3 linked regions of the Mus musculus genome follow. The protein of the gene in region 2 purifies or fractionates together with the protein of the main gene of each other region. This does not show direct contact. Links are inferred from orthologs where the notes say so. Each region holds a gene or a part of one and is shown on either strand. Other genes may lie near its edges.

The links.
Region 1: the proteins of Cdk16 (region 2) and Ccny purify together in Homo sapiens (affinity purification with mass spectrometry; 3 studies listed by BioGRID and IntAct, counting the BioPlex papers as one, with this or other methods). This does not show direct contact. The link is inferred for Mus musculus from reciprocal best matches to the Homo sapiens genes CDK16 and CCNY.
Region 3: the proteins of Cdk16 (region 2) and Ccnyl1 purify together in Homo sapiens (affinity purification with mass spectrometry; 4 studies listed by BioGRID and IntAct, counting the BioPlex papers as one, with this or other methods). This does not show direct contact. The link is inferred for Mus musculus from reciprocal best matches to the Homo sapiens genes CDK16 and CCNYL1.

What each region holds. Positions count from the first base shown.
Region 1 is NC_000084.6:9,314,025-9,317,674, forward strand, and holds part of Ccny (cyclin-Y), read right to left. Parts: intron 2,649-3,650; coding exon 2,532-2,648; 3' UTR 1-2,531. UniProt on the Homo sapiens protein: Positive regulatory subunit of the cyclin-dependent kinases CDK14/PFTK1 and CDK16.
Region 2 is NC_000086.7:20,687,390-20,691,139, reverse strand, and holds the start of Cdk16 (cyclin-dependent kinase 16), read right to left. Parts: upstream 2,715-3,750; 5' UTR 2,334-2,714; intron 1-2,333. UniProt on the Homo sapiens protein: Protein kinase that plays a role in vesicle-mediated transport processes and exocytosis. Regulates GH1 release by brain neurons. Phosphorylates NSF, and thereby regulates NSF oligomerization. Required for normal spermatogenesis.
Region 3 is NC_000067.6:64,711,837-64,715,486, forward strand, and holds part of Ccnyl1 (cyclin-Y-like protein 1), read left to right. Parts: intron 1-1,274; coding exon 1,275-1,326; intron 1,327-2,732; coding exon 2,733-2,852; intron 2,853-3,650. UniProt on the Homo sapiens protein: Key regulator of Wnt signaling implicated in various biological processes including male fertility, embryonic neurogenesis and cortex development. Activates the cyclin-dependent kinase CDK16, and promotes sperm maturation.

The sequences.
Region 1 (3,650 bases), on a different chromosome or scaffold from region 2:
TCAACACTACTATTAGATTGGTTTTATCTCCTTTTTATTTTGGCAACCTGAGAACAACCCAGAAAACAAAAATAAGTTTTCATTATTGTATAGAAAAATTAAATGAGCCTATACTTACATGCCTAGTAATTCAGACTAAACAGTACAACTGAAATCCTTAGTGCAAGAAATACAACCAATTAATACAGTTAACACTCACTGATGCAAAGAGAAAACCTTCCTATTCAGAGGTAGAGTCCAGTGTACAAGGCTTGAAAACAATAGTCAACAGTCTGAATAAAACCAAGCCAGGCTATAAAGAGTCACTGTTGAATGTCAGGTACCAGACTGTGTGTACACACATACAACGAATACACTGTACAATCTTTTAAAGTAGTTTAATAAACTCCACAAAATAGTATCAGGTGCATTGAACTATTTACATAAGTCAATTTCCAAATCTCCCATTCAAATAAAAGGAATAAAAATAAGATTTCTGCTATCAAGCCAGCAGTTCTTTCCTGAAATGGGCTGGTAAGATAAGGTACTTTACATGAGAGGAAGGATTCATCTAAGAGGCATTCATATTTGGCTAAGAAAATAGGTCCCTTCTAGAGTTATAGAGATGAGGGAATACAAAATGACACTTTCTACATGTTTCGACCTCTGTTTAAGGTTTGTAAGGAGAGAAGCCGATCCCCTTTCCCACTCAGAGCAAATCATCAAAGAGGCAACAGGAGGGTAGTTAATTTTTTACTTCCTGCTTTGCAAGTTTAGGCTAGAATTTGCTCATATTGCATCCAAAACTGCACAAGAACTGCACTGACTCTTTACTAACATTTGTGGCTTCATACTTTTGGGATTTTGATATTTTGTTCCTTCCATCTTCAAAGTGTGCTCTATTGAGAGGGGTCAGGCATATGATTTTAGGGCATTCAAAACTAGCATACAATTCTAAACTTTTCCACGCTCACACAGGAGGAGTATATGATAAAGCAAATGCTAGAATTTATCTCAAACAAGGAAAACCTCACAAACCTCGGTCACCGCAACCTAAGATGGGCAGAAGCAAAGCACTTGTGTGTGACTCAGACTCTTAGACTTCATGTCAGACTCTCTCTTTGATAGCTACCTCTAACCCTTTTACTGCACTCAATAGAAGAGTTTAATCTATTCCCCAAACAAGCCAAAACCAGTCAGAAAACACAAAAGCTGGTTATAAGTAAGGAAGTATGAACCTTCACAGTTTGTGTAGCTTCTCCAAGCACCCACAATGAGAATGCAAGTTGAATTTTTTTTTTTATTCAATCATTCTGTGAAAAATACCTCAGGAAATAGTAACATTTTTCCTTTTAGTGATCTTCCCACTGGATACCCACCCACCCACTCCCCATTTTCTAAATTTTAGATTTTTAAAAAAATTGTATACAAATAGACTAAATTTGATTTAAAGGAAGCATATAAAATTCAAGGAGAATATTGCTTACAACAATGGACATGGAAGTAGAAGAATGACCAGGCAGGGAGCACATGGACATGGCTCCTCATGAGGTCAGGGAAACCTGGCTCCCCGGATGCTTCTCTATCCAAGATGCTTGTGCTGAGGACCTTTGCCTTCAGCCACAAAGTCTGAGTGCGTTTTGTAATTACACCTTCATGTTAGCAGAAAAAGAGAACCTGGGATGGAGAGGAGGTGACAAAACCAAAACCAAGAACAACCAATTGCAAGAAAACTGGAAGGCACAAGCACCCATATTAATCTAGATAGAATGTTCTTGGAACTAGGCAGGAGAGGGATAGTTTTGGTTCAGTACTACAGTCAAGTTAATCCTGCTATTGTTGAAAGAGAATCATATATAACAGGTGTGTAGAAACACAACAAGCACATCTTACTTGTGAGGAAGAAAGCTCAGAAGAAGGCTAGAGAAAATGGAGCAGAGATAAACAATCAGTACTATTTATTTGGATGTCTGTGCCATGGTGGTTACAAACTATACTCTCTGCTCTGAGGAATCAAAACCCAACCAGAATAAAAATGAACAAACATCCCCATCCCCAATCCCGAGAGCAGCATGAAGGAATGCAGGAAGTCTTTCTTACAGAGCACACAGATTCCAAGGGCATAGCATGGCATTCCCGATTTGGAGATGCATTCAACTCTGCTACCTATCATCTGGCTCCATCTGGTATCTATGACCAGACAAGGACCCAGAAACAGCAAAGCTACCAAGTAATCTATCCCTTAACACAACTTCCTTTTCCTTCATTTCCTTCTCCAGGATTAGAGTCTGTTTCCTCCATGAAAGAAGTGCTTTTCATGATGGCCGGGAAGGCTTGACACCAAGTTTCCTGAATACTGATTTCACGTCCCTTAAAGCCGCTCTGCGTGCACCCACCAAGTGTGGAGGCGGGCTGAAGGCAGCCTCGATGAGGCTATTGTTAAAAACAGAAGGAAAAAAGAAAACCAAACCAAACAAAACCACCCAAGTTCATCTTTTCTTTAAACAAAAGGAGAAACTGAGGGACAGCACAGCCTCAGGAGAGTGCCCCAGTTAGGAGATGATGGCTGGAGACCACCTTGGCAGAATCAGGTTGTCAGCACTTGCTGAACGCTTCCTCATGGGTTTCCTCAGGTCCTTGTACTTGTCCTCACAGAGACGAGAGATGGCCTGAGAGGGAGAAAGACAGTGCAGGTCAGGGTACACACCAAGGTCCCACCTCAGCCAGGGGCTCTGCAAGGCTGTCACATCTGCTGGCTCAACTGGTCTTCCTGCCTAGCACAACTTCCAACCCTGTTTTGAAATGGGGTGGAGATGGTGTGTATCTGTGTCCTCCTGATCTTGAAAGCAAAAGAGAAGAAACAGCTAAGGCTACTGTGAGGCAAACCACAATGAGAGACAACCATAGTAAGGATGGCAACAAATAAGGTGTCCAGAGTGACCTAGGAGCCAGGGTGGACCCACACGGTGGGTGTTAGTGAGACCAGATGGGGTTTCAGGGATGGAGAGCACACACAGGCCAGGATGGAAACACTTTCTAGTTTGTAGCCAGTGAAAACTTGCCACTAATCTTAAGAGAACATGACAAAATCAAAGGCTGCATTTTAGGAAAATAATTCCAGCATCAGCTGAGAAGACGGACTGGGGAAGAGAAACCAGACAGGCATCCATGTTGAAGCCAAGTGGTCAGCTGGGAGAACAGACAAATTACCAGGCTGAGCTGTGTCACCCCAAGCACTGTGTGCAGAGTTCTTGGGTCTTTTATTTAAAATTTCTGAGATTACCAATTGCTATTTCTCAAGAATAGTGTGTGTCTGAATTCATAGTAGTAACAGATAGTAGTGTTCCCTCTTAACCAGATTATATGTGGTAACAACAGCTTTCTCTGACATGTAGATAGAGCCAAACACCTTGAGCCTGGTTCAGAGTAATTGTTTAAAAGCTAAATCCGTAAGGTACTTTGCATGTGGTGCAGATCTGCACAAAAGGGGGTAGTGGCACCTCCCTGGAGTTCTTTAGTCCCAGTGCTTAGCACCCAGCCTGTCTCCTTGTCTCCTTGCTCTACTGAGATTCCATCTTAAAATTAACTGACTGCCGGGGGTGTTGTGGAACACAGCTTAAAACGAAGCACTTAGGAAGTAGGTGCAGGAAGATTTCTGTGAGTTTGAAGCC
Region 2 (3,750 bases):
CTCTAAAAGCACACACTAGATCCCCAAGAAGGCCCTCAATATTTATTAACTCCTACTAACATTCACAACGTCTAACTCCCTTCAGCACTCAAAACCTTGCCCTCAACTGTATTGGCATATATTTGCCCCTTTTAAGTAACTCCTACCACCTTCACGTTGAGTCCCTTCCTAGCCTAGATGCTTGTTAGCCTCTCTCTAGCACTGTCCTTCCCAATAATAGTGTCCCCTATGGATTCTGATCCTCCTTAACATGCATTCAGGGTGCTCTACTGCTGACCCAAATTAGCATTCTCTGGACTTTCACACGTCTCTGAATCCTCAGTACATTGTGATTCTTATACAATCCCTGACCAGTTTGGTTCACACTTAGGTCCCTTCACAGTTATGGGTCTCTTGATGTGCATGCAGGGATCTAAACCCAGGTCCTCTGGAAGAGCAGCACATGCTCTTAACAGCTGAACCATCTCTCTAGCCCTTACCTTCAGAGTTATGACCACTGTTAATATACATTCTTTTTTTGTTTGTTTGTATGTTTTGTTTTGTTTTTCGAGACAGGGTTTCTCTGTGTAGCCCTGGCTGTCCTGGAACTCACTCTGTAGACCAGGCTGGCCTCAAACTCAGAAATCCGCCTGCCTCTGCCTCCCGAGTGCTGGGATTAAAGGCGTGTGCCACCACGCCCAGCTGTTAACATACATTCTTGTACTTCCAGTGCACAGTTCCTTCCCTCAGCACAAGATTAATCTTCATTGTATCTTGACCCTGACAGTCCTAACTCTATCAGCACACCTTGAACCCTTCCTTAGCCCTATTCTCCAGGGAGAAATGCACTATTCTGTATCAGACTGACTCTCATTAGTGAATGCAGCTCCTCCATTTGACCCTGACCCCTAATAACATACATCTCAGTTCATGACTCCAATTCACTTTGGCACACCAGTACCTACTCCTATTCCCTGCTTCAACCAACCACTCCTACCACCATTTCTCTGGTTCACAATTGATTTCCTTCATAGCTCTGTTCCTTTCATTATCCACTAGATTCTCCACCCCTCACCCCCAAAAAAACTCTACTTCTGAAGCACTCCTCAAATCAGCACACTTCAGTGGCCCATGGAGAGAAAAAAGGCGTTTTGATGTACATCAGCATATTTTACTTTGTGCTCTTCCCCTAATAGCGTGCATACATTTAAGTGTCTGTATCTATCTAACCCCACAGCAGCAGCCTTTACAACAGTGGTTCTCAACCTTCCCAATGCTGTGACCCTTTACTACAGTTCCTCATGTTGTGGTGTCCCCCAACCATAAAGTTCTTTTTGTTGCTACTTCATAACTGTACTTTTGCTGTGATGAATTATCATGTAAATGTCTGATATGCAGGATATTTGACATTCGACCTCTAAGTTGAGAACCAGTGCTCTAGAACTTCATATATAGTATTGCCCCCACGCTTTCTGGAAGCCTTTATGGACATCCACTCACACCTCATCTTGACCCTTAGTGTGCAAAGCTCTTTATACTTCCTTTACTGACAATCTCCCGTACACATGTACGCACACACCTAAAACCCAGTAGTACAGGCCTTTCCCCATCCTCTCCCATTACACACACTCTCAGGTCCTTCAAAAGCTCTGCCTTCACTGGCATATACTGATCTCACCCTACCTTTATTACATCTACATACCCTCATCTCCAGGACCCTCCATTACCTCCTCTATGAGCACACCCTGGACCCAGAGAAGCTGCCACCCTCAACTCCGTGGATAAACACAGTATTAACACTATCCTGACCCTCATCACCACACACTCGGAACTATGCGTCTATCAGCACACCTTCTGGTAGTACCTCTACCACCCTTTCTCCATTTACACTGGGCCTCTCTGTAGCTCCAACTTCCACTAGAATGTTTTGGAACTGTCTTTACTTCAAACCCTGTTATACCCCATCACGTCCCTCATGGTCCTGCAACCCCTTTCCATAAGCACACTGGGCCTGAAGTCGTAAGGCTTTTTATTACATGTTCCTAGCCCTTTAGCAACTCCGAGAATCTCACTGTATCAATCCATTCCCATAACGCTAGTCCTTTAATCACCCTTCTCCCACTTAGCATCCACAGCACTTCCCATCCTCAGCTCCCAGGACAGGGGCCCAGGGCGGGGCCAAGGTCAGGGAGGCCCCAAATGACCCCCCAGTGCATTCTGGGAAACTCGAGGGGGAGGGGGCACCTGACAGACAAGCTGCCCAGAACCCCTTGGTCTTGTTCCAGCACTGCCTAGGGTCCGGCTGGCTCTCTAGGAAGAGCAGCCCCCACCCTAAGTATCGAGGACACGCTCACCGGAGGGGGCGCGCGAGTAACCTCAGAGCCGCGGGGCCGGCGCGGTGGCGCCTGGGGCGGCGGCCCGGGATGAGGCCGCGCGACCTCCTTTTCCTCCAGTTCGCCGCAGGCGCCCGTCCCAGTAGTCTTCGGCCATGGCTGCTGGGCCCGGGCCGCCGCCGGCTGAGGAGGAAGAGGCGGCGGCGGCGGCGGCGGCTGAGGCGGCGGCGGCGTCCCGCTCAGCCGGCCATGAGCTTGGCCACTGCGGGCGATGCCCCCGTGCTCGCAAGCGCCCGCTGGAATCCGGGTGTTCACGGCGGCTCGTGACTCACAGCAGACAGCTAGCGGAGACGCAGCATATCCCAGAGCCCCCCAGCCAGCGGCCCAACAGCCGCGCGCGCCGCGCTCCGCGCATGCGCACGCACACGCTGGGGGTGGGGTGTGAAGCAGGAAGGAGGAGACTCACCTCGGACTGCGTGTACCAAAAGAGCCTTCTGCAGCGGGAGGGGGTGCGGCCATTGCGTGCCCAGCAGGGAATGTGGCGTTGGCCCTGGAACGGCGCCAGGGGGATTTAGAGAGGGGTTAATAGTTTTGATCTTGCTAGAAATTTACTAGCATCGAGGTGAGCAGCAGCCAGTAGCCAGGCGTGCCAGTCACCACCTTCTTTCCCTACAGTCTCATTTGGTACATCCCCATGGTGGTAAACGGGACTTTTGCAAGGAGAAAAAGAACAGGTGAGCGAAGCAGTTCCAGTCCTTTGTGGTGCCTCGGGAGGCAAGAATTTAAAGGCTGGAAATGACTTTCTAGGAGAGGTGGCCTGGATTACCACCTTAGCTAGGACAATCTAGCCCCGCCCTGCCACCCACCCTCTACCACTAGTTTGTTACCCACTGTGAAACGTATGTGGCCCCACCCTTTTGAAAAAGCTGACGCTCAGCCAATCAAATTTGCTCCCTGCGTCAGGGCTGAGCAAGAATGAAGGGCGTGGCAAAGCTGAAGAAGCATGATCTAGCTTTCTCTTCAGCTTGCCTCCTCCTCTGTACGGTTTTTTATTGGTTTTCGGGCTCGCCTTTTTGTTCTGAGCGCTTCTCAGGAGATCGCTGAATATCCCGTAAGATAATTGGTCCAAAGGCCACTCAGTCAGCCGGTTCCCTCCTTTAACCATTCCCACATTCTCCTGCAGCTTCTTGGTGTGGTGAAACCTAGGCTGAGAAGGAAAGGCCTTTTTAGAGGGGGCAGACTCCACTAAGGCGCAGGTTTGGAACTTTGGCTTGGGCGGAGCTTCTTGCTGCCTCACTCTAATATTCGCGTACAAGCTCCTCTAATTAGGCTTTCTTTACACCTTTCAATTACCTCATCTTGTCCTCTACAGTCTTACTTAACTAGGTTCTGTTACACGGCCAACATTGCCAGGCATACCTCTCATTCTTCTCTGTAG
Region 3 (3,650 bases), on a different chromosome or scaffold from region 2:
TTGCATATCTATAAATTTTAATGTAGGTCTTGGTAGAAAGACAAATAGATTTCCTTGTTTCTCTGTCTTTCTTTCAGTTTGTTTTAAAGAACCAAGAAACCAGTTCTCACACATATACATTTGACGGAAAGTTATTTTTAAAGCGTTCAGATTTTTTGATGCTCTACAGCACTACACTAAGGGTGTCTCATTGTAATAGAGTTTTGTATCTCTCCGTGAACTCTTAAACACTGTACTCATTGTATAAATGTGCAAATGTTTAATAAGTGTATCTTTTACTAGTGCATAGTTGGATGATGTATCCTGGTCATATGGAGAATAATGAGTCACCCTTATTATAATGTTAGCAGAAAGTGTGAGCACGGAGAAGCTGTAAGACACATAGCAGAAGGCACAAGGTCCCAAGCTTGGCTTTTACAGAGCTTGACAGCTTGAATTTTATCATGACAAATTATGTTTTCCTCAAAGTGACAAGTTACTACATTCAATTTTGAGAGTATTTGTAGTTACACATGAAAGTGATATTCTGTAATAAGGGGCTGGTTGAGTTCACAAGTAAATCACATTCAGAATATTAAAAAAGAAAGGTCAGGATTTAGTGACATTAGTTATCCTGTTTCATCAAAGACGTAAGCAGGCTCAGGAAACAAGTGCAGTGCAGTTGTGGGGGGGGGGGGGCGGCTGGCACAGCCGGGACCATGCCAGGATCAGCTCGTTCACACTCGCTCACAGTCGGCAGGCATAAGAAGCAGGCAATGCTTCATGTATATGATGAACGGTTTTGGAGGCCGTGTGCCTCCGGCTCAGGGACTCTCCTGAGTCCACGACCTCAGAGAAGCAGTGCTTAAATGAGTGCACTTTATTTGTTTGATGAACTTTTACACACACACCATTGTGTGTTTTAAAAAAGGGGGGCAGCGACGTTTTAATTAATACTCTTTATAAGAAGCAAGTGTATATCTTAAACATATAACAATCAGAGAATTAAAGAAAGGCAGAAACTTGTGAAATTTAAATGTTGTTCACATTGATCAAAGTTCTAAGTTCTTCATGTCCACTGCTGCCTTTATGAGGAGGAAGGATAACGTGCTTATCGGCACTGCTAAGCGTGTCAGTGCTTCGCAAGCACTCATAGCAAAGGTGCCGCAGCGCTGGCTAAACCCAGGAAGAACCGCTTGCCTTGTTAAAGGTTGGCCTCCCCCGTCGGCCTCACCCTACATCTAGCAGTTGTTAACTAAGACACTACTAACGTCCTGTATTGTTACATTTTACAGAGATGCAAATAGATCCCTGGACATTTTTGATGAGCGGTCACATCCTCTCACAGTAAGTATCTGTTTGCTTTTCTTAAAATTATATTTTTCTTTCCTAGAATTGTGTTTTGTTTCTGTCTGCGTGTTATGTAGCTGATTACTGTGAGAAAATTAGTCCCTCTAGCTTGAGTTAGGAGTGTGCCGTGGCTATGATAAAGTAACAATTGCCTTGATGCTTTGCTTAAGTAGTGAGCCAAGGGAAATAAGTGTATTGTCTTAAATAATAGAAAATTCAGCTTTTCAAAAGATAATCTTTAAGTAACATCAAGCAATATAAATATCTGTAAACAAATTCAACAAATATGTTTTAAAAAAAGGGAAATAAGGAAACTTTAAATTAGTTAAAATGGGTCTATCTGTAATTTCAGTACCTTGAAGGCTGACTAGTGATTTGAAAGACAGTCTACCTATTAAGAGCAACCTAGTATTAAGAGCAACCTAGTAATAAGAGCAACCTAGTAATAAGAGCAACCTAGTAAGGCCCTAACTTGAAAACAACCAGTCAGTCGAACCTGTAAAAATTTAAGAAGTCACTTCACCAGACATATGCTGGCCAGTCTTGATACTTGACACACATACTGTTGGCTGTTATATGGACAATGTTAAGAAGAGCCTATGGTTATAGGAAACTAAAAATATTTTGGGTTTTTTTTTCCCCCAAAGTATATTGCAAACAGCTGTCACCCCTGTGACACTTTTAAGATCAGTATGATTTCAGGATTAAAAAAAAAAAAAAAAAAAAACCTGGGTAGGAGAATGGAAGGGTATATCTGACATTCCTGTGCTTGTGGTCGTGTGTCCTTTTATAAAGGATGGGTGGGTATGAATAGTTGTAGTATAGCCATAGATTGCTTAACAGTGGGTACATCCTCAAATATGTATTAGGTGATTTTGTTCTGCAAAAATTGTAGAGTACTTCATCTAAGATGGCTGTAGTATTACACACTGATGGTTTACGGAACTGGTATTATGTATTTAGTTCATCATTGCCTGAAAAGGTCATTCTTGCCAATTGCCATAAGATGCCACACTCTTTATATTGAAAGCACAATGAAAGTCACTGGGCATGGTGACACACACTCTTAACCTCTGCACTCAGGAGGAAGTCTCAAGACAAGCATACAAACAAGATGGCTCAGCAGGTGAAGCACTTGCTGCCAAGCCTGAGGGTCTGTGCTTGACCCCCAGTATTGTAAAGGGAAAGGACCAACTCTCAAAGTTGCCCTTTGACCTCGTGTGTGCACTGTGGCTGTGCATGCCCATACACATAGTTATACAAATGTACACAATCATTCTACCCAATTGAAATTATCTTAAGGAACAGGTGAGCACAATGTGGAGACAGACTCAAGTATTTTTAAGAATACTTAAAAGATTTCCTTCAGTCAATATTTATTTATTCATTTATTTTTCTTTCAGAGAGAGAAAGTTCCAGAGGAGTACTTTAAGCATGACCCTGAACACAAATTTATTTACAGATTTGTTCGTACACTTTTTAGTGCTGCACAGCTGACAGCGGAATGTGCAATAGTGACGTTGGTAAGCTTCCTGCCAAGCTTCATTAAAAAGCTTGTACCCAGATATGTTTAATCCCTGAAATGATCATAAAACCTTTAATAAGAACCTTCTGAAGGAATGACTGTTAATTTAACAGCCTTTATGGTTTAAAAATGTTACATTGCCTTTATTACAAAAAAAAAAAATTGCTATTAAAGGCAGTAAGAGAGTTCTCCCATCATGCCTCAGTACACATATATGGGCATGTTGATGGGGCAGGAGGGGAAAGCAGTAACAAGCGCAGGTGGTTCACCAGTCTGATTTGCTGAAGTTTAAGGTTCATGCCAGGCTGTGTTCCTCAGGGCCTTCTGTTGTATGCTATGCTGGATCACTGTCTAGTTCTCTGACCCTTGGATGATGGGTGTTAATCTACCTCTGCTGATGACTTATTTCTGCCTATGAAGTTGCCCAGGATTATAGTACAGTAGTTCTTAGAGTGGCTTTGTGAACTTGCTAAGCTACAGGTATATGCTTGCCTTTATGTTATCCATTGAGAAGGCCTGTAGTAAGACTATTGTTTCACATAGTGCATGTTATTGTAGCATTTAGGATTTCACTGCCCCTACAACAGATGCACGGAGATAAGTCAGATGCTTGGCCCTGAGGAAAGGTGACTACCTCCTCCTTTACCATCAGTTAGACTCAGAAGAAGCCATGTGCTGTGTTCATGAGCAGAATCGCCCTGTGGGCACCAGTGCTGTGAAATTGGGTTGGAAAGAGAGGTGGCAAGGTCCTTGTTAGTGAGGGAAGCTGCATTCCTGGAAGAACAGAATGGCCCTG